5 linked regions of the Daphnia pulex genome follow. The protein of the gene in region 5 purifies or fractionates together with the protein of the main gene of each other region. This does not show direct contact. Links are inferred from orthologs where the notes say so. Each region holds a gene or a part of one and is shown on either strand. Other genes may lie near its edges. The genes, in order: anaphase-promoting complex subunit 4-like, protein patched-like, cell division cycle protein 27 homolog, membrane-associated tyrosine- and threonine-specific cdc2-inhibitory kinase-like and G2/mitotic-specific cyclin-B-like.

Evidence for each region.
Region 1: the proteins of G2/mitotic-specific cyclin-B-like (region 5) and anaphase-promoting complex subunit 4-like purify together in Homo sapiens (affinity purification with western blotting; 3 studies listed by BioGRID). This does not show direct contact. The link is inferred for Daphnia pulex from reciprocal best matches to the Homo sapiens genes CCNB1 and ANAPC4.
Region 2: the proteins of G2/mitotic-specific cyclin-B-like (region 5) and protein patched-like purify together in Homo sapiens (affinity purification with western blotting; 3 studies listed by BioGRID and IntAct, with this or other methods). This does not show direct contact. The link is inferred for Daphnia pulex from reciprocal best matches to the Homo sapiens genes CCNB1 and PTCH1.
Region 3: the proteins of G2/mitotic-specific cyclin-B-like (region 5) and cell division cycle protein 27 homolog purify together in Homo sapiens (affinity purification with western blotting; 6 studies listed by BioGRID, with this or other methods). This does not show direct contact. The link is inferred for Daphnia pulex from reciprocal best matches to the Homo sapiens genes CCNB1 and CDC27.
Region 4: the proteins of G2/mitotic-specific cyclin-B-like (region 5) and membrane-associated tyrosine- and threonine-specific cdc2-inhibitory kinase-like purify together in Homo sapiens (affinity purification with mass spectrometry; 5 studies listed by BioGRID and IntAct, with this or other methods). This does not show direct contact. The link is inferred for Daphnia pulex from reciprocal best matches to the Homo sapiens genes CCNB1 and PKMYT1.

Annotation. Positions count from the first base shown.
Region 1 is NC_060021.1:8,254,075-8,258,101, reverse strand, and holds the start of anaphase-promoting complex subunit 4-like, read right to left. Parts: upstream 2,807-4,027; 5' UTR 2,554-2,806; coding exon 2,439-2,553; intron 2,361-2,438; coding exon 213-2,360; intron 191-212; exon of another isoform or gene 130-190; coding exon 65-129; 3' UTR 29-64; coding exon of another isoform or gene 1-28. Other genes in the region: condensin-2 complex subunit H2-like, read left to right, coding at 1-28. UniProt on the Homo sapiens protein: Component of the anaphase promoting complex/cyclosome (APC/C), a cell cycle-regulated E3 ubiquitin ligase that controls progression through mitosis and the G1 phase of the cell cycle.
Region 2 is NC_060018.1:5,081,383-5,085,324, forward strand, and holds the start of protein patched-like, read left to right. Parts: upstream 1-1,137; 5' UTR 1,138-1,736; coding exon 1,737-1,919; intron 1,920-2,433; coding exon 2,434-2,626; intron 2,627-3,942.
Region 3 is NC_060018.1:4,689,433-4,693,631, reverse strand, and holds the start of cell division cycle protein 27 homolog, read left to right. Parts: upstream 1-1,389; 5' UTR 1,390-1,588; coding exon 1,589-1,612; intron 1,613-1,746; coding exon 1,747-1,822; intron 1,823-1,883; coding exon 1,884-2,031; intron 2,032-2,088; coding exon 2,089-2,529; intron 2,530-2,619; coding exon 2,620-2,799; intron 2,800-2,855; coding exon 2,856-2,982; intron 2,983-3,056; coding exon 3,057-3,199; intron 3,200-3,267; coding exon 3,268-3,714; intron 3,715-3,781; coding exon 3,782-4,135; intron 4,136-4,196; coding exon 4,197-4,199. Other genes in the region: MPN domain-containing protein-like, read right to left, coding at 31-254, 327-473, 553-702, 772-924. UniProt on the Homo sapiens protein: Component of the anaphase promoting complex/cyclosome (APC/C), a cell cycle-regulated E3 ubiquitin ligase that controls progression through mitosis and the G1 phase of the cell cycle.
Region 4 is NC_060028.1:2,255,466-2,259,694, forward strand, and holds the start of membrane-associated tyrosine- and threonine-specific cdc2-inhibitory kinase-like, read right to left. Parts: upstream 2,805-4,229; 5' UTR 2,788-2,804; intron 2,696-2,787; exon of another isoform or gene 2,271-2,695; 5' UTR 2,071-2,270; exon of another isoform or gene 1,987-2,070; intron 1,908-1,986; 5' UTR 1,830-1,907; intron 1,752-1,829; 5' UTR 1,688-1,751; coding exon 1,616-1,687; intron 1,549-1,615; coding exon 1,036-1,548; intron 965-1,035; coding exon 842-964; intron 778-841; coding exon 582-777; intron 519-581; coding exon 180-518; intron 117-179; coding exon 3-116; intron 1-2. UniProt on the Homo sapiens protein: Acts as a negative regulator of entry into mitosis (G2 to M transition) by phosphorylation of the CDK1 kinase specifically when CDK1 is complexed to cyclins. Mediates phosphorylation of CDK1 predominantly on 'Thr-14'. Also involved in Golgi fragmentation.
Region 5 is NC_060017.1:7,280,057-7,283,978, reverse strand, and holds G2/mitotic-specific cyclin-B-like, read left to right. Parts: upstream 1-1,260; 5' UTR 1,261-1,407; intron 1,408-1,523; 5' UTR 1,524-1,654; coding exon 1,655-1,690; intron 1,691-1,753; coding exon 1,754-1,974; intron 1,975-2,028; coding exon 2,029-2,197; intron 2,198-2,254; coding exon 2,255-2,416; intron 2,417-2,473; coding exon 2,474-2,728; intron 2,729-2,796; coding exon 2,797-2,915; intron 2,916-2,977; coding exon 2,978-3,122; intron 3,123-3,180; coding exon 3,181-3,300; 3' UTR 3,301-3,417; downstream 3,418-3,922. UniProt on the Homo sapiens protein: Essential for the control of the cell cycle at the G2/M (mitosis) transition.

The sequences.
Region 1 (4,027 bases), on a different chromosome or scaffold from region 5:
TCACGAACACATGGACGATTTCATCTGATGAACTGTCAGCAAGATGTTTGGTCCTAATAGTCCATCAGGGAGAGACGGCCATATCCACGTCGCTGATATCCTTTTGATTTCCTCCATCTTTTGATATATCTGCGATAAAAATGCCATTCCATTAACATACCTTGTTAATAATAAACAATTTGAAAGTTAACCAGGTTTTCACTTTTACGTACCGTGCGATAAGTCTGAAACATCCTCAATGTCCTGATCCTCGTCTTCGACGTCTTCTTCCTCTTCAACTTCCATGTCAAATATGCGAACCTTCCTTTTTGACGAAGAAAAGATAGCGGCAACCTTTCGACTGGACGATAGACCGAGGGTAGTAGCCTGAAAGTCGTTTAAGACACGAAACGAGCTTGCTTCAATAAAGGTATTGACATCCACTGATCGAAGATTGCCTTGGCTGAGAACTGATGAAACGAAAACGTCTGAATGGAAGGACGAGTTAAAAGGTCCTCGCCGTGACACAACGGGAGCCAAATGTTCGCGTAACAGACATAGACTGAGTTGTACGAAGATGCTATTCGTGCTGCGTTCGATCGAAAGCAAAACTGACATAATCTCGTTGTTATAGAACTGCAGATCAGCTATTTTATATTCGCCAGGAGGTAGATGGTCGCACTTGCCAAAGGAGAAGAATGCTGCTCGAGTCAAGTTCTTACGTTCCTTCTCGGAGGCGAATTCAAACAGGTAAAATCCTGAAGAATGAGTGGTCGAATTTGTCAAGCCAAGAAGATTACACCGATCTTTTGGTTGGTTGATGGATCGTGTTGTGATTCTGATCTTGTCCAGACTGTCCGAAGGACAATCTAACGTCAGGTCGGTGATAAACGGCAACGACGCAGTCTGTCCAACAGCTGAAGGGATAGCTTCGAAACTGGCTTTGACCTGATGTTCCAAATGGGCGAACTCTTGAGCAAGAGAGCGTTCAGCACGGGGTTGAAATAAGTCCGAGTCCTGAAGATTCGCAATAGATGGACAAGCTTCTATCAACATGTCCCAGGGTCTAGTTTTAGAGCTGGCAACAAAAGTCAACGGCTCATTCCTCAAATATTGCCCAATACGATCCAGACGTACTTGTCCATCGGTCTCAAAATCTTTGGCGAGGAAGTTGGCGATAAACCGTACATCTTGCTGGGTACTGGTGGCAAGCTCGGGTGGGATAGGCTCGTCCGAGAGGCGCAAGATGGTAACGTAAAGCCAGCGGAAGAATGTCTTGAGGTACTTGACAGAACCATCGATCACCTGTTGAAGCTCAGCGGTTTTGGCGGTAAAAGAGCCGGCCGCCCGGTATGCAGCTAAACACGAATTGACTTGGAGGCCGAGGCATGAGAAACGATCTTCTTGTTTGGCCAGCCCGCAAAGTTGTGTCAAATAGTGCGACAGTTGGTAGTTGGCACACACGATGTGTTTGATGAGCAGTTTCTGCATGTTGCTATAGGATAACTCTACGGCTTGGCCGATTCGTTTCAATCCTTTGTCAGTCAAATCGGTAACAAGAAATTTCTCCAGCTTGATCCCGGCGTGGCCAAACATCAGGAGCTCCATCAAGTCGACAGATAAGCTACTCTTGCCGTCGTTGCTTTCATAGCGAACCATTTTCGATTCGAGGTCGACTAGTGCATCCTCCCAGGCTTCTTGTAGAGCTTTCTGAGCACTGATTAGGCAGTCCATGAGGCCAGTTATCTGCCGATAGAGAAATCCTAGACCGTACAACTCTTTCAAACAATGAGTTATGAGTGGGGTTTCCACAGTCATGAGTAAAACTTCTGAGGATCCGGCACGAACATCGGCTAGTAAACACAGTTGGCTGTGATCACCATTCGGGAAAACACTTCGTACAGGTCCGATTGAATCGCTCCCACCACTCATTTCTGAAAGTTTTAGAAGGCAGCAAGGAAAGAGTCCAAAGGCGAATCCGTAAACTAACCCATTCTTTAGTCCAATCCACAAAATGCTCAGTAATTCTTCATGTTTCAATCCTTTGTCGCCATCAAGTGCTGACCCAGCATCTAGCTTTGAAGAGTTAACTTTCAATGGTTGAGGCAGCAGTTCTGGCAGCAAAAAATTGTCTGCCTCTTCTTTCACACTTGTGCTGCAGTTTTCCCAGGAAAGAGCTGTGATGGGTTCCTCACATGGGTTGAATGTGTGTACTACTTCTCCAGATTCAACGTCAACTAGAACCACATGCCCAGAACTGTATCCTACAGCTAGTATCACACTGTCTGGTCTCCAAACGATCGCTGTGACTTTGACACCATCACCTCTTTTAGAAAGCTTCCAAACTTTGCTCCATGACAACCTTCTCAGAAAAACCTCACCTACAAGAAAATAACATACAAAACAAATTTTATTATCATAGTAACACAATGGGAAAAAGAAGGATTGCAAGTTTTCACCAGAGCTGTTTGAGACGGCAATCAGATCTCGTCTGGAAGACCACAAAAGGATTTCTGTTGACGCAGTTCCAAGAATGTGTTTTTCGTCACTCTGTCTCATCATACACGACACCATTTTAAGCTGATTGTGTTTTTACACGACAATCTCGATTAGACAGAAATTAAGGAACATGTATTTACAACTTTTCGAACTTTTTTTCGGTTTCTTCTCTAGGCAACTTGAGTACATCTAGCGGTCGATTTTTAAACTGCCTGGAAACATTCAGATTTGAATTCTACCTTTTTATTACGTGTTACCTTCAAGTGTTCAACGTTATTCGCTTTTTATTTCAGTCACCACTGGAGGCCAATTGTATCGCATGGCTCTTGACGTCCATGGCTGTAGTTCGTTAACTGAATAAATAGCCACACAGTGTGATAGAATGTCTCCCCAAATTTATTTTTTTAAGGCATTTGCCGCCGCATCTTTTCAACAAGCATAAGCTCGTCTATCCGTAAATGGATGCGAAATTGAATTCGGGTTTCTGGCAAATAGGATAATCTCTTGGCCAAACAGAAACCCAGTTGATAACCTCACCACGTAAAAAATGAGCGCTATTCTTAGGCATCGAGGATTAAGCGAAGCATCGCTCCCGTGCGTTCGCGGGTGCTAAAGAAATCGATCGGAAAATAACGAACTCCCTTTGCGACACGATTATTTACCTTCATGAGAGTTTGCTCTGTTTTCTGCTTGTCTTGTCGCCGGTCGTTGATAATAATAAAACGTCATGCTGCTATATACAGTAGCAGTTGCCTAATATTTTACCGCACTTAGCCTTAGGAAAACGTGTGGGCGTTGACGGGGTCTCCCATTTCGTGCAATGTGCAGAAGCTCTCACGCGCGGGGGGAACACTTCTGCTCCTTCGGAGTGGCACAACATTGATTCATTATTTATTCGTTATCAGCGAATTTGTGCTTTTACGTCTAGACGATTGTGTTTTCGTAGCAACTTGTAAACGAAATAAAAAAAAACACGTAGTCAGATGGGAGAAAGAAAAAGTCGATATCCAAATAAGAAAAATCATCTTCTCTAAATGTATATTGTACCAGTACCTAGCCTATATAGTGCTCCTGAAGAGGATGAGGAGCAACAAGAACTTCGATTTCCACACAACTACTTTCTTTTGCTTGCTGACGTTCTCCTGTTCACACAGTTCAATGATTGTGGATTATGCGTATCAGTGCTCGTTATTCGTTGGACTCTAGAGACTGGAAAAAAAGGCACGATTATGGAGTTGGATCTTATTTGTATTCAATGCAGCAGTCTAGCGGGACCACCAACGTTCTGGTCGGTTTGAGGTGACTCCGGGGGGACACTGCGAACGGCGGGGTAATGCATAGCAACCACCGTCGATATAGACTCGAAATAATAGGAGAAAGGAGAGTTCATCCGTGCCTAGCCAACAAGCAAGCTTCATCCTATATTCAACAGAGATTGAATATTATTCCAACATTCTTTTTTTTAGGCGATTCGGATTTGTTGTCTTTACTAGTTCCTATTTTTAGTCTGGCAGTGATTTTTCCGTTATTTGACATGACCGTTTGTATA
Region 2 (3,942 bases), on a different chromosome or scaffold from region 5:
AAAGTTCGTTGGCAATTAAAGTTTTGGCCTGGGCCGTAATTGCCCAGGCACATCCGCCACCAGATTACACTAACAGCGCCACTCTCTTTTTTCTTTCTTTTCTTCCACACCATCTTTTCTTTTTTAAAATAAAAAACTCTTCTTTCTTTCTTTCTTTTTTACCTGTGTGACTATAACCGTAAAAGAACGCGGGCACGAGAAACTGACAAGAGAATAGAGTCATTAAAATAATGACTTCTTTTCTCAGGGATGCAGTGCAGCACACAAGTTGGGCTGTGCAGACGAAAAACATTGGAAAACGGTTGGTTCGTTGGTTCGTCGTGATCGAAATAAATCTCCACCAACATTTGACTTTTTCTCTAAAGAAATGATGTGTGTGTGTGTGTGTGGTAGAAATTTTTTCGTCTACGTGAGCAAAGTTGTTGGAATTAAAAAGAGGAAGTTGTGCATGTGTGTGTGTATATATACAAGAAGAAGAAGAAGAAAAAAAGGTTTTTGGGGTTCTTGGCCGTCGTGTGGGGTCCAGGGCTTTTGTGTATTGCCCGTGGGTTTGGTGTTCTGCGTGTTGCCCAGGCAACGGCTAAGACCACCCCCACAAGTCCGAACTACAGTGTGTACGCTATACACACTCGCGCCCCCTTTCACTGGGAAAATGTTTTGTCTCTTTTAGATGGTGGATGGAACTTTTTAAAAAAGAAATAGAAAAACGAAGGTCCAATGAATGGAATCCGAGTCGGATCCGCTGCTGCTGCCATTTTTCAAAGTCTTGGGTTTCAAATTTCCCCACTTGGAGAACTCTGTCCCGAATATTCAATTACACATTGAACGATTGCTGAGCCGATTAGACCAAAAGTCATTCCTCCGTTTATAACTATTAATCGCATCTTTTCCAACATTTCAAAACGAAATTTTCCTTTTTAAAAAAAATATACTTGAAAAAGAAGAAAATGGCGCGCTGTAGTTTGTCGATCCGCCACGTGGTGGTTGACGCGGTGGGCGGGCGACCCGAAAAATTTCCTTAGCCTGCGGGTATCCCCAGCCAAACTCGAAAAAGAAGGAGGGACACTGGGTGGTGGTAGCGGGGGGGGGGGGGAGGAGGTCTAGCGGGGCGTGCGTGTACTAAGCTAGCGGCCATCTCTCCTCGAGTTTTCAGTCGACAAGCAGGAAGCTACAAGAAGAGTCGTGTGTCTCTTTCTCTGAAACACACACACACAAACCGAGTGTGAAATATCTATATTTTTTTCTTCCAAAGTGTGTGTGAATTTGAAGAAATTTAGTGTGTGAACGAAACAAGAATTTTCAAGTCCCCAACCAAAAGAAACTCGAAAGAACGACGACATTTTCTGGTTTCTATCACCAACACGGATTAACCAAAAAGACGACGACGACGGATGGTGTTCGTCCCCTAACAATTTCTTCCACAGTGTGTTGTTGTGCCGTTAGAATCAGCCATTTCTTTTCTATTTTCCTCCCCCTAGAAATTTGTTCGGTGTGTCACGAAATTTCGCCCCATGGTTGTGTGTTGTTTAGCCCGTCATGAAACGAGGCCATGTTAGGCTGCTGGTCGGTTGCGACCGCTGCTGGTGATCATCATCGTCAAAGTTGTTGTTGTTGTTGTTGTTGTTCAGTGCCGCAGCCGCCGAGTGTGTTTCCGTTGAAATCGCCCGACGTGTCGGGAGACGAGGAATTGCTTGCAGACGAAAACGAATCATCACGAACGGCGCTGTAGTAGTGTCATGGCCATAACGATGCACTCGCACGCCGCAATGGAGAAATCGAATGGCGGATGCTCGAAAACTTCTTCACTGACACCTCAAGACGCTTACGCGGCACTCTGCACCAGCAGCAGCGTCGATTCCGACTTGTTGACCAGGACGAGCTGGACAGATGCCCGGCTCGCCCTTCATCAAATCAAAAAGGTGCGTCTTTATAAAACATCTTCTTCTTCTTCTTGTGAATAAACAATTGCATAAGATAATTTATGCTGCGTGTAAGTACGAAAAAAACACAGAGAAAAAGTCTGTGGTGGCTATGCCAAGGTGAGGTGTATATTTTCGGGTGGATGGTATAGACCGTCGGTATATAGGGGGCTCTGGCATCGCCCGACGGAATGAAGACATCAACAACAACGGGGGCCCCTGCTGCAACAACCGACTGTGTACTACCAACCAAGAGAGAGAAAGAGAAACAGTTGAGGCCAAGCCATCGCTCAAGGGCGTAGGCCCCAACACAAAAACCCATCAGCCACTCTCTTTCCTTTACCTCTCCTTTTTTAACTTGTTTTTCCTCCTTTCCACAACCATTCGCTGCTGCCCAACTGATTCAAGGGGGCTGCGCTGGAAGGATATAAAAACATTCCGGAATCTCATAGATTTTTATTTTTGTTCGTTTCTGACGTCTCTATTTTCTTTTATTTATTTATTTTTCCAATAGGGTAAAGCATCAGGCAACAAAGCGGCGCTGTGGTTAAGGACGAAACTTCAGTGGCATCTCTTCCACCTGGGCCGATTCGTCCAACGGCACGCGGGCAAAGTCCTTTTCGTTGGACTCCTCGTCCTGTCCACCTTCTGCGTCGGCCTCAAATCCGCCAGCATTCAAACGGACGTCGAGAAACTCTGGGTCGAAGGTAATACAACACTTTTGATCCCTTCAAAATAGGATCTCCCCCTCCTCATCCATTGATGCGTTGTTGGGCTCTCCATCCGCTTCTTCTTTTTCTCCGGCATTGCCAACACATACACAGAGAGAGAGACCGGAAAAAGAACTTGGCTGGAACACCCGAAAATAGACGGCCCTTGTTTGAGAGAGAGAGAGGGTGTTTTATGTTCCCCTTTGCCCCAAATCCGCCCGCATCGGATGATTCTCTTTCACGATTGGTGGCCATTACCAGGTCCGCTATTTACTATAGAACCCCTCTTCTTCTTCTTCTTTTTGTTATTTCTCCTCTGGAATGTTTAGCACCTACCCAACAATCAACAGCAAGACGAGGTCTCTATCCATTCTAGATGGCCAGGGGAGAGAACATGTCTTCATTAGGGCGGCAGCCTCCAGCTGGATTTGATTCCCCTGGACCGTATCTTTAATGAACTCTCTGCAGGTCGCGGTATTTCCCCCCCCCCCTTCTCACAAGAGAATCGTGTTATTTGCCAAGCCAAACCTGCACACATGTTCACATGGGAAATTTTTCATCCTTCTGTCAAAAAAAAAAAAAAAGGAAAATGTAGTTGTTGTTCGGGGGGTTCCATATGGTCCTGTCGTTTCCCCCCTCTCCGAAATCAGACACCCCCCTTCCACCCCTTGAAGAAGAAAAGTTATTTTCCAAAGTAAAAATTAAAAAACAGCTGCTAGGTTCTTTTGGCGGCCTTTTGTGAAGAACATACCTGATCACGCAGGTTTTTTCTTCTTCTCTTATTTTTGGCTGATGATGACGTACGGCCAAATTGTCACCCGAGGAAGAAAAAAAGAAACAACATTGGAGAGAGAGAAGTTATAAAATTCTTGTTTGGACCACCCAACGGAAGGGAACGAAGGTACAGCACACCCAAAGTTGGGCACAAGAGGAAGAAAAGACAGCGGGGTGGAGAGAGAATTTACGAGCTAGAAAAGAATGTTTTTTTTTTTTTTTTTACTTCTTCTTCTCTTTCTTTTCCTTCCCCCCTTTCTTCTTTGGTCCATTGTATCCAGCCAGCGTACCTGAAAACTTTTCTTCTTCTTTTCATTTGTGCGTGTGTGTTACTCTTGTAGAGCGAGAAGAGAGGCTATCGGTCGTCCCTTTTCTCAATTGACCCGTCAAACTCGTTACAATAGGAAAAGATTTTTTCTCTCTCTCCTATTCTTTTCCTTATTCTTTTCTGACCTCCATCTTCTTTTTTTCTCTCTATTATTCCATCACTTCCGACGATTGCGTCTCCCCATTTGAATTTTGGAAATCCAGCGATCAGG
Region 3 (4,199 bases), on a different chromosome or scaffold from region 5:
AAACTTAAAATAATTGTTTTGTCTACTTACTCGATACTTGTCCTGTTTCCTAGCGTTTCGTGCTTTATAATTTGTCGATCACCGACAGTTTGTTTCATACTCATTTGAATTACTGGTTCAGGTTCCAGCAGTACAGGCTCATTAGTGGACAAATTACAATCATCAGGAGTCGAGTTGTCGCTAACCTGTTCTAAACGTCGTTTACGCATCCATTGGTTTTTATATACATCCAAAGGCCTGCCACAATATCGTACCTACATCATTTAAAAATCTGAACTAAATTTACTGAACTTGATAACGAGAATTTAAACATATTTTATGCTTACTGATGACCAACCACAACCATATTTCTGTTCGGGATTAACAATTTTTTTGCAGCGCAAGGCCCACGCCGAGGGTGAACTAAAGACTTCTTGAACTTCAGCAGAAAAAATTTTTCCATCTGCCAGTAAGTCCCCATTAAATTTTTGTCCCTAAATAAATTCACATAGGGAATAGAAGTTTTAAACTTGGAAGATAAGAAATCTAAAAGAAATATCGTATAATGTTTACCATGTACTCTAGTGACATAGCACCTTCTTTTGGTTGAAGGATGTTATCTTCAAGTAACATTTGCAATGTGACTCCTCTACCAGTAAATCCACCAGCAGTTTTGGACTTTTTCTCATTCAGTTCTTCATCTTCATTGCCATCCATGTTATCCTGTAATTTTTGTCATAAAATTGTTATTCATTGGAATTTTAATAGCACAAAGTATTATTAATTAATTACCTCTCCTTCCATTTCAGGATCTAATGTTGCATTGTGGGTTTCAGACATGTTACATTGCTCATTTGTGTGTTCAACACTAACTGATGTGATCTTTTGTTGTTCTTGAGGATCTGCTTGATCACTAATACTTGAGTCTTCTGATGCTTCAATCATGCTTATGCCCTGTATTAAGAACACAGCTTTAATATTGCTAAACAAAAGGTTTACAACTAAAAAGAATTAAATTTGAAAAATATTTGTTTATTTGAAGTAGATTAATTGAAAAAAGGACTATTAGAAGAACTAAAAAACACTTAACTAAAAATTCATATTTTAGAATTACGCGCCTTTTTTATTAATTGTTATTAAAAAAACGTCTGATTTACCTATTCCAGTACCATAATTACAATTACAACCACGTTATTTCGAACAATCTAGGCCAAATGACAGTAGTTAATACATTGCAACACTTAAATTTACCTGAATAAATAACTTGTTGACAATTTCGAAAGCAAATTGTCCAAGTGCGGTTTAATAATAAGATTGATAAAACTGACCGTTGAAATGTCAAAAAATGTCAAAACTGAAGCATCACGATTTGAATCAATTCATCGAATATCGTAGATTGATCGATACTTAGTGAAGGCGATACAGCGATACTCGAAACGGTTTGGTTAAAAAGAGGAAGGGGCAAAAAAAACTTTGTGTTACATTAAAACGTAAGCTCCGACGGCAATTTGGTGGAATTATTTTGACTTAAATTGATTTCCGTCCATGGGAATTCAAACTTGATTGTATATCTTCATAGATTTCATATGTTAACTCATTACTAGTCAACATGTTGGTACAAGAACCTGTCCAGGTTAGTAACATGTTAATCAATGATGTTTAGTGATCTAAAAATTGCATATATTTAGGGTGTACAATGAAGGGGGTTTCTTTGTATGCCAGTTTTTGGTTCATTTTCAATAATGGTTAAATTTTTCTAAAATGCAGGCGGCTATCTGGCATTGTCTTAATCACTACAACTATTGGAATGCTACTTTTCTTGCTGAGAAACTTCAGGATGAAAGTATTATGTGTATACTTAATTTGTAAAGGTTATTTTTCCATAAATCTTATGTTTCTTTCAGTTAATAATGAGGAAAGCTTGTATCTTCTGGCCACTTGCTACTATCGGTCAGGAAAAGCGAATCAAGCAAGAAGTTTACTGCAATCAAAAGGAACTCAGTCGCCACAATGTCAATATCTGTTAGCCAAATGTTGTTTAGATCTGAATAAGTATGTGGTTATTCTCATTGAAAATAATTAAAATCTAAAGAATGTGTTTTTTTTTAGGCTTGCTGAAGCAGAAGGAACATTGATGGGTGGAAATATTTTCAAACAAAAATCTTTGGATGATGTTGTGACTGAATTTGGAGATGCTGCTGCTTTTGCCCTAGTTTTGTTGGGTCAAGTTTACATGCAGACAGAACGAAAGTTCAAAGCTATAGAAGTACTCAACAGAGCTCTTAAGCTTAATCCATTCCTGTGGGCTGCTTTTGAGCTTCTTTGTCGGCTTGGTGAAAAACCAGATGCAGAAGATGTCTTTCAGTTAGAGGGATTGGATAATTTCTCTCATTGTCATGGAACAAACCCAATAGCTTCATTGATCACTGCTCAGATCAATCAATCACATGATGCAACCACTAAAGTACATCCTCATGAACCAATGTCTGTTGACCAAATCTCCACTCCTATACTTCAAGTCCCTGCAGCTGATGTTATAGTAAACACAAGGTAAACATGGCATATTATTTAAAACACAAATTATTTTGAGATTTAATCACCATTTCTTTACACAACTTGTGTATTTTACTATATTTCTAGCACTCCCCTACCATGTGTGCCTCTTATTCATCACAATATACCTAATTTGACACCAGATGATCAAATGATTCCCTCTATACCGTTGACGAGTACCATGGCTCCAACACGTTCCAGAGCACGGTCGTTCCGGCTTCGATCAGTCTTTAAAGCCGGTCAAGCGCTGTCTCCCATGTCCCCCAAGTATAATTTAAGTTTCCATTCACTTGATGACACTTTATTTAATTTACGTAATTTAGTTTTGGCATCATACCTTTGGATATGTCTTCAGCAAGCGATGCTTCTCAAAGTTCGATGGTCTATTTGTGTCCCTCGCTAGCCCCACCGGTCTCTGAAACAAAAGAAGCAAAGATAATGCCTAAACGGGTATGATTTTTTTCCTTTTAAACAAATAATATAGAGTGTTTCATAATCTCTCCAAATGCTTATGCTGTTTTTAGTTGGGTGGTCGTCGTGAAGCAGCTAGCACTGCTCCAAGCGCGCCTTCACGTATGGGAGTTTTCTGCCAATCCGGAAATACAGCTACACCGACATTGTCTTCACCCCCAGCCGCTAACGTGAGGAGAAGTACACGACTTTACAGGTTTCAGTAACATTTGTGTATATATAAATTCGTATATTATTAATTAACGTATTCTATTTTGATCACAGTTCGAACAATTCCGTTAAGGAGAATAACAAAAGTAGCTCTCGTTTTGTTGTGCCCAAGTTGCCACTGAAGCGTAGCAAATCCAAACTTACTAAAGGTGATACCCCGGAAAGCGGATTAGCACCTATTAGCGATTTTCCAGAGCTAGTAGGAAAAATGGATAGAGAGGATGAGAAACAAGCTACCCTACCTACTCATTTAACTTCGGTGCAGACTCCACCATCAAATTTGATTCAAGAGGCAGTCCAAATGCAAAAGCAGTCAGCTGAAGGACTTATGTCTCTTCTTCGGATTGTAGGCAAAGCATTTTCACACCTGACTTCATATGAGTCTCGTCAAGCGATTGACACAATAGAATGGCTCTCCGCACGCCACAAAAGATCAAGCTGGGTCCTCTCTCTTATGGCTAAAGCTTACTTTGAACTGGCAGACTACAAGCAAGCTACTAGGTTAGTTTTACTTTTATCTTGTGTAACAGTTTGACAGGAAATTGACAGATATTTTTTAATTATTAAGGTTGTTTCAAGAAGTGCGTGAAATGGAGCCATATCGCACTGATCTGATGGAGTATTATAGTACTGCTCTCTGGCATCTGCAGCAAGAAGTGTCACTCTCGGCATTAGCACAAGACATGCTGGAACAAGACAAAATGTCAGCTGCGACTTGGTGTTGTGCCGGAAATTGCTTGGATTTGCAGAAAGATCGCGAACAAGCTCTAAAGTTTTTCCAACGAGCAATCCAAGTTGATCCTAAATTTGCTTATGCATACACTCTTTTGGGTCATCAGTATCTTGCCCTCGAAGAAACGGAGAAAGCCATGGATTGCTTTAAAAATGCTGTGAGAGTTGATCCTATTCATTATAACGGATGGTAAACCTTCTTTAACAAAGCAGCATTAATTGATTTGTTCTAACTTTTTGTTTGTGAAAAGGTA
Region 4 (4,229 bases), on a different chromosome or scaffold from region 5:
ACCAGCCCTATGTTCGATGCTATTGTTTTGTGGCAAAGGTGAACTGTCATTAAGAGGACGCCCAAGAGTGCTGTCATTTCCACTAATTACTGCAGAAGATAAATCACTCACTTCATCTAAAAAGAAAATTGATTCAATCAGACAGAAGTTGACAAAATTGATGGCAATTCAAGTACTACCGTCAGAGAACGAAAAGTCGTTGGCGAAGTTGCAGGGTTGTGGCCGGTGTGTGACAGGCGTGGACGGCTTCGAGCCAAAGTCCGGTTTGCGCCATTTACGCGCCAGAGCGCGTATGGGCAAGAAGATGAGCAAAAAGAGCTGGAATAATCGGAAGAATAGCTCAACCAAATTGGCGCGGAATGAAAGGCGGGCGTTTTGCCAGCCCAGTTTAAGGCACCTCCATCGCCTTCTGGAACGCAGCAAAGGATGCTCCAGAAGTTGAGAGGCTGACGGACGGTTAGAAGCGTCTGGATTCATCATCATTTCCATCACGGCACTCAGATCTTTGGATAAGTCTGCTAGAAACGAAACCAAGGGTTAGTTTGCAAGAAGTTGGAGAAAATGGAATAGTTGTCACTAACGTCTGGTGATGGTGGGAGGAAGAGAACCATGTCTCAGTTCGTGCCACAAAGTGCCGTTGGCCGGCAGGTCAAGATCACAGGCCAGTTCGAGCAGCGTAATTCCCAGGCTGAAAATGTCTGCTTTTTTAGAGAAAATTCCTCCCAGGACTTCGGGAGCCAAGTACTTTGAATCTCCCTCGGTGGCGTCAAACAGATTCTGGTCAAACGAAATGGAAAAATAAAAATTATTGTTACAACGTCAAGTTTTTCATTAGACTCACTTCTTTGAGGTTAACAACGAGCCCAAAATCCCCGAGCTTACAAACACCTTCCATTGATAATAAAATATTCTCAGGTTTAACATCCATGTGAATTAAGTCATTGTCATGCAAATGTTGAATTGCCTAAATTGAAAATAGAAAAACTATTATTGAGCCAGTCAAAATGATTTAACAGATAGGAATTTTTCAAATACCAAGAGCAAGTCAATCATGTAGTCCCAGATAAGGTGCTCTGGTAGCTCATGCTGCTCTTCAGAAATCTCACTCAGACTGGACTGACAAAGCTCAAGCTGAATATAGAGAAATTGGTTCTCCTCCCACGCCTGATAAAAACGAACGCAATTGGGGTGGTGAGGGAGGGACTCCATTTTTCGAACTTCCTCCAGCTTCTCTTTACGATCTGTAGTCCCGCGAAACGGCACTCGTGATCGCTTGACGGCGTACATTCGACCATCTTCTTTGCTGCGAACACGAAACACGTCGCCGAAAGATCCAGAGCCGATGTTGGCCTCGATTTCAAAACATTGGCGAAAGAACGTGTCTTCCTTCGACAGATTGTAATGTGGGCTACTAATCAGCGCAGAATCCGATTTTGACTTGAACGAGATTGTGTGAGCTTTTTGGGGGCCAGGGCAACTATAATAGGCCGAAATAATCGGCGTAGGTGTTGGTGGTGCCCGTTTTTTATGGCCAGGTAGTGTCCTTTCCTGAAAATTTGACAAAAAGTGTTACAAAAATTCAAAGAAAAAACTGGACTTGAGCTAAAAATGTTACCTTTTTTGTGGAAAATGTATTTATGAGATTGAACTGGGGGACAGGCCTCGGAGTTACAAATTTCGAGTCCATTTGTCTGAGGATAAAAAATTGCTTTTCGATGTAATTGGGGGAGGAGGCAAGTTTAGAACTTCATCTAAATATATAGATAAGATAAGTTAATGCTGACAACAGTATTCTAATCTCAAACAAGGAATAATGAATAACAATATACCAAATTGCACCTGCTTGGACATTGGGTTAGACGCTTCACTTTGTCCTTATTTGGTATTGTTGCACTAAGAAGGATTCACTAAAGGTTAAACAAGAAAAATCCATTAACCAAATGAAGATGAGAATAAGAGGTGTCAATGCAAGAATAGTTCACCAACATGAATATGGTTAAATATTCACACGAACTTAGGTAACAATAACCAACAAGCCTCTGAACGTAACCGGTTGTTGGGGAAAGTTACCTCACAAGACGTGATCCATGGACTTTTTTGGAAGTTTAACAGCAGATTAAGAATCCTGAAAAATTCACCACGATAACAGCATGTGATTCTTTTTTCAGTAAAAAACAAGAAACAAGGATATTGTGAAAAGAAACTTTTTCAGCGAGAAGCAACAGGCGGGCTGATGTTGTTTTTGAAGGAGCGTCATCGGCAAGTGTTAACTGTGACTCATAGATGGCGCCGCGGACAAAATTATATTTGTTAATTCACATTGAATTTATCTTCTTATTCTTTCAAAATAAATATTTGATAATAAACAAAATTATTATTAACATTACTTTCTGACTATTCTTGTTTGATGATTAACTTATTTTGTTAAAATGTTAATATTATCAAAAATGGCGCTAGTAAAACAGATGAGGCTTCTGCCCGTAGTTGTGAGACTTTTGGCGTCTCTTTAAAAAAACAAAAAATCGGATTTTGCCACGTTGCGTTTCTTCACTTTTCCTCAAATAAATTAACAAGAAATTTTTCGAAGCCCATAAATTTTATTGCTCTAATATAATCTATTAATTTTTTTTCAGCTTAACCTTCTCAATCAAATGATGTGAGGGAAATGGTGCTCACTTGCACGTAATAATGGTATAATTTTAAAGCTGTTATTTGTCATTTGTCATATAAAAATCATTGAGCATTAAGGGTCGTTATCGTAGAAATTTTAGAAAAATTTATAAATACCGAATGACGCTGTATAGCTGTAGAAAAGATTTGAAGCAATATCTAAAAAAAATGATCAGAGAAATTTCCAGTTCGAATGTGGAACTAAGACTTTTGTGTTTTCAAAAAAACGTGTGTAAATGTGTTTATCAAAATCAGGGCAGCATCAAGTATGGCTCAGGGGAAATCCTCCATATTTTAGCTCTAGATAAAAATTAACAGAAGATAAAAGTGTTGACTGGTTCGGGTTTGCCATACGCATATTACAAGTGATGATAAGAAAATGACGCAAGTCGGACAGTATAGATACCAATATTACTTATGATATCGCTAATTTATATAACTGCGCAGAAAACACACAAAGGTTGCACCTTTAAAAAAGTTACTTTTTTTCTCGTCAAGGGAAAATCATCATGCTTGAAAACATTAAGTGCCATGGCGAAGAATCCGTTCGTGATTTTTATTTATTGCCCCCCCCCCCCTCCAAATTTAGACGCAGGCAGTGGGGTAGAATTCAGCCCAGCTCTTGTCTTTCATGTCGACGTAATCGGCACCAACGACACACGACTTTTAAGTGTGTTCCAATCGACTTCTAAAGATATTTTTTTAACAACATTAATTTTGAAAATGAACATCGATATCGTGTTTTTTTGTAAATGATTTACGATTCTGGATAGTTGTTCAATTCAGAAATTTCGACGCTTCTAACGTAGATGTGGTCGTTGCAAAACAGACCACAGGTATTGAAAATAGTGCCGTCATACTTCCAGTACAACTCGACGCGTTGGATGTTACCCACGTTGAAAGAATCGACGAAAAAAGAGAATGAGTTTGTCCCATGAACAAACTTGTGGCTTTTGCTATAATTATGGAATAAATGATTATTAGCATTTTAGGATGTGCACATTGCGCAGCTTTAGCTGAAATAGATCTATACTCGGCTACGGTAACGTCGATCAGCTGTCCAAGCGTTCCATACAAAGACATACGCATTGTGCCATAAACGAAAGCTTCAGCTTACGATGGATAAGCGAGGTTGACTTTAATGCCGTAGTGGTAGGCCTACTCTAAGAATGAATTCAAAAGTAATTAAACATTTGTCCAAGGGTTATTGTCCATTTCAGATCAACTTACTGATGTAATGGACATCTTTGTCGGTGTCGAACAGTAGATTCACGTAAGTTCTATCACGCATCGGATAGAGAGCGGCGTCCATGCCGAATTTGGCGCAATTCAAGTTGTCGGTTCCGCACGAGGTACACTCACCCTTCGTTCAAATAAACTTTTAGTAATTAAAAGTAGGCTAGTAATATAATTCGATGAATCAATACTCGATGGAATGCGTCGTTGTCAATGCATTCGTAACCGACGTAGTTGTAACCGGGCACAAGTGAATCGATGAAAAATTCGATGCAGCGCAAGTGATTGCAGGCAACCAGCTCTCGGCCACCGGTGACCATGTC
Region 5 (3,922 bases):
AGTTCAAGCCTCGTTAGCAGTTTTTACAGATCATTCCACACACTGCCCCGCATATTACCAATTTGTTCAATCTCAATATTTCACTTCTTTCTTCTGATGCGATTCGGTGCTAGGCTATTTAAACAGGACAAATAATATTGAAAAATCAAAACATTAAATAAGAACAAGAAACGAGAAAGAAATCGGAATGCAGGTAGTAAAGATTCCAGTAAGTTTATTCACACTGCGGATGGAACGAATAATTTACGCCTTTTTTTTTTTTTAAAATTTCTTTCAGATCAATGCACCAGAAATTCAAGACAATAATCTCATTTGAGAGAAATTTGGAATTCATAAAATTCGCTCGCGGGACGAAGAATATACAGAGACACAATCCATCAGATATAGACGAAAAAGAAAGACAACCTATACTCGCAGTTCGCTGATTGCTTCAGTAGCTGATGATACCTCTTGTTCAGAACGTGGAAATCATTAAAATCCCATTGCGATATTCGGCCCACAGCGTGTAAAATGCTGTACGTTGCGTTCGTATTCGACAGACATGACGGGGTCTATATTGTTGATGTGATTGATAACTTGCGCTAGGCTCTTGCGAACCGGCCAATATTTTTTTAAAAAATAATTTAAATTTCTGTCGATATAAGAAGGTCACTCAACGGTTCAAATCTGTCTGAAATGTTTATTTTTATTTTATTTTCGCCCAAATAAAAAAAAAAAATCTTTCTTTGTTCCGCAATCAAAGCTTCCAGTTCCAGAGAACAATGAACTCGTAAAATAGAAACAGGCTCTTCGATAGAATTGTGAGTCCACTTTGTTCTGTCATGATATCTAATATGCAATATTACTGTGCCCTGGTGAGCAGCCAGAGCAACTGAGCAACTTTTTACTAACAAATTAGCTGTTACATAATAAATTAATGGAAAATAATCTGACAATTAGCATATTAAGGCTGATTGAATGTTGCTTGCAAAATCGAAATATTAGCTACCAGTCTGCCATTAGTCCAGCACAAACATTCCATAATTCACAAATAGAAAAATTATTTTCAACAGTCTGAAAATAATGCGTGCCATTGAGAAGTAACTTTTAAAAATGTATTCAGCACAAAGTTTCAAGTACGCAAGTTAAAAAATATCACATCGTTCACATTTTTAATTAAATAATGAAAAGAAAACCTATTTTCCAAAAGCGTAAACATATATCACATTTTCTCAAATGTCAACGCTGTACTACGGCAACACAGCATTTTTGAATTGAATTTTAAAATCCGTATTGTTTTCAAATGCCGCCATTGTGTCACATCGTAGTTCTCAACCCCCCGACAAATTCCTTTCAGTCCTCCCTGTCAAGTTTACCTGCTTCCAAGTTTTTTCAAGTAGAATCATTCGCAGTTGTATCCTCTGAAAGGTAAGGTCTCTTGCTTAAGTATTTAAACCGTCGTAATGAAGATTACTTTCCATCTCCATAACTTTGTCACGTAGTGTTGTAACTTATAACGTAACGTCTGTGTATTTTGGGCTTAGATTTATAGTTACATCATTCGATTTCATCTCGTGGCGTACTCCTTGTAAGACTGCTGATTGCCCGATGAGTTTTACGAATCGACGTGGATTTTATCAAATTATCAGTCAAGCCATTGAAATAGTGTAACATCATGTCTGTGACACAAGTATTCCCCTCTGCTATATCGGTAACTATCAGTGTTGTGAATTATCTGCTAAAAATTCTACATGTATGTTTAATGGGATGGCAGGTCCATGATGAAGGTGAAAATATTGCTATGCCAAGAGGCAAGAGCAGTCTGGCACCAAGTGGGAATTTTAATGTATCAGCAATTAAGCAGAGGGCTGTTCTGGGAGACATTTGCAGCAACAGATCGGCTCTTACAAATGTCGTCTCTGAAGTTGATTTTAAGAAACCTCAACATGTGCCTTCCAAATCTGTTGCAAAGAAGCAAATTCAAGAAATAGAGAAGTAAATTATTGACTGTCTATGTGTGTCCTAAATCTTAAATCAAATTTTCTCTAGTTTACCTCTTCCATCTGAAAAAGAAGTTGTCAAGCCTGCTGTAGAGGCTCAGAGACGATCATCATTTTCTTCTCAGAATTTGGAATTTGACGATATTGACACTGAAACTAATCCCCAGCTAGTTGCTGTCTATGTCAAGGACATCTACAAGTATCTGAATGAGTTGGAGGTACTTTTTTCTTTTACATTTATTTCTAAGTGTTTTACTAATATAATGTTAATGTAGGAGAAGACTGTCATCAAGTCCAATTACATGGAAATTGGTTACAAGATCAAGCCACACATGCGTACAATTTTGATTGACTGGCTGGTGGAAGTGCATATTCGTTTCAAACTGCTCCAGGAAACATTGTACTTGACTGTGGCTACCATGGATCGTTTTCTTCAAGTGAGTTGCATTGTTGTTACATTATTTCCAATTAGTGTATTTTATTTTTCTCTCAAGGTTGAGCCTTCTGTTGTGCGACATGATCTACAGCTTGTTGGCCTTACTTCCATGTTCATCGCTTCGAAATTCGAGGAGATGTACACTCCAGAGATTGACGATTTCGTTTTCATGTCGGACAAGGCCTACACCAAGAAGGAAGTTCTGCGCATGGAGTTGCGTATCCTGAAGGCATTGGACTTCAATCTTGGTCGCCCTCTTCCTCTTCATTTCTTGCGACGATACACTAAAGCTGCTACACACGTCTATGACTGGGTAAGTCGCATCGTATTTTTCGCCTCGTCGATTCACCCGATTACAATTTTGCTCTGTGAAACGATTAGGTGGACGTTCTCCATCACACTTTGTCGAAGTATTTGATGGAATTGTCGCTGCCAGAATACGAGTTCTGCCATGTTATGCCATCACAACTTGCTGCAGCCTCGTTGTGCTTGTCTCTCAAGTAAGTTTTTGTGCATATGTGTACCGCATTGCATGTTTCATGTATTGTTGTTTTACATTCAGAATTCTTGACGAACATGAAAACCCTATTGATGTTTTATGGAACGACACATTAATTTATTATTCTGGATACACTTACGAAGCTCTGGAGCCGATTGTTGAGAAATTTTGTTCTTTGATTATCAAATCAGAAACAAGCAAGCATCAGGTGAGTTGTTTATAATGTGCTGTGATGTATATTTGTTAATTGTTAAAATTTTTCGTAGGCTATTCGGAGAAAGTATCGTGTCTCGAAATTTTACCAAATCAGCGCCCTTCCACATCTCAGGTCTCCAGCTACTCATGCCTTCTTGGCCAAGATGGCGCTGAAAAACTCGAATATTTAACCCATGTTTCTTATCCTAATGATGGTTGCTAATTTTAAACGGCACTTTTTTTTCCTTTTCAAGTCATTGACCGTGACTTTGTGTTTTATTTCAAAATTATCTCGAACGTTCATGTATTTTTAATTCTCTTGCATTTGCGAAATTCTTCTCGGCTTCCACATGATATCCTAACAATTCGTATGGGTTTAGAGGCTTGTATACCGTAATACATAGATAAAAGAAATATATATTTTGCGTAACCAAAAAATGTCTACGTTTGTTTCTTTCTCTGAATTCTATCTGGGCTTTTTTTCAGTAAAAACGTGAACACTTGTAGGCTTATCCCCTGGATGTCTAGACTAGCGGAAAGAAAAGTATAGGTATGTTCAAGTTTGATGTAGAGCGCAGGACAACATCGAGTTTTCTTACGAATTTGGGGCGTTTCGTGGAAAAAGAACATGGATTTTGAACATGCAATCTCAGTTCTTTGGCATTGTAAATTATCACCGTAAATGAGTGCGTTGACTTTTGCGCTAGTGGCTAATGCGGATATGCTAAATATAATTGCATACAACACTACATACACATGAAAGTGAAAGAAAGGCTACGATATCCTACAGCACTATTTGCGATTTTAGAGTAC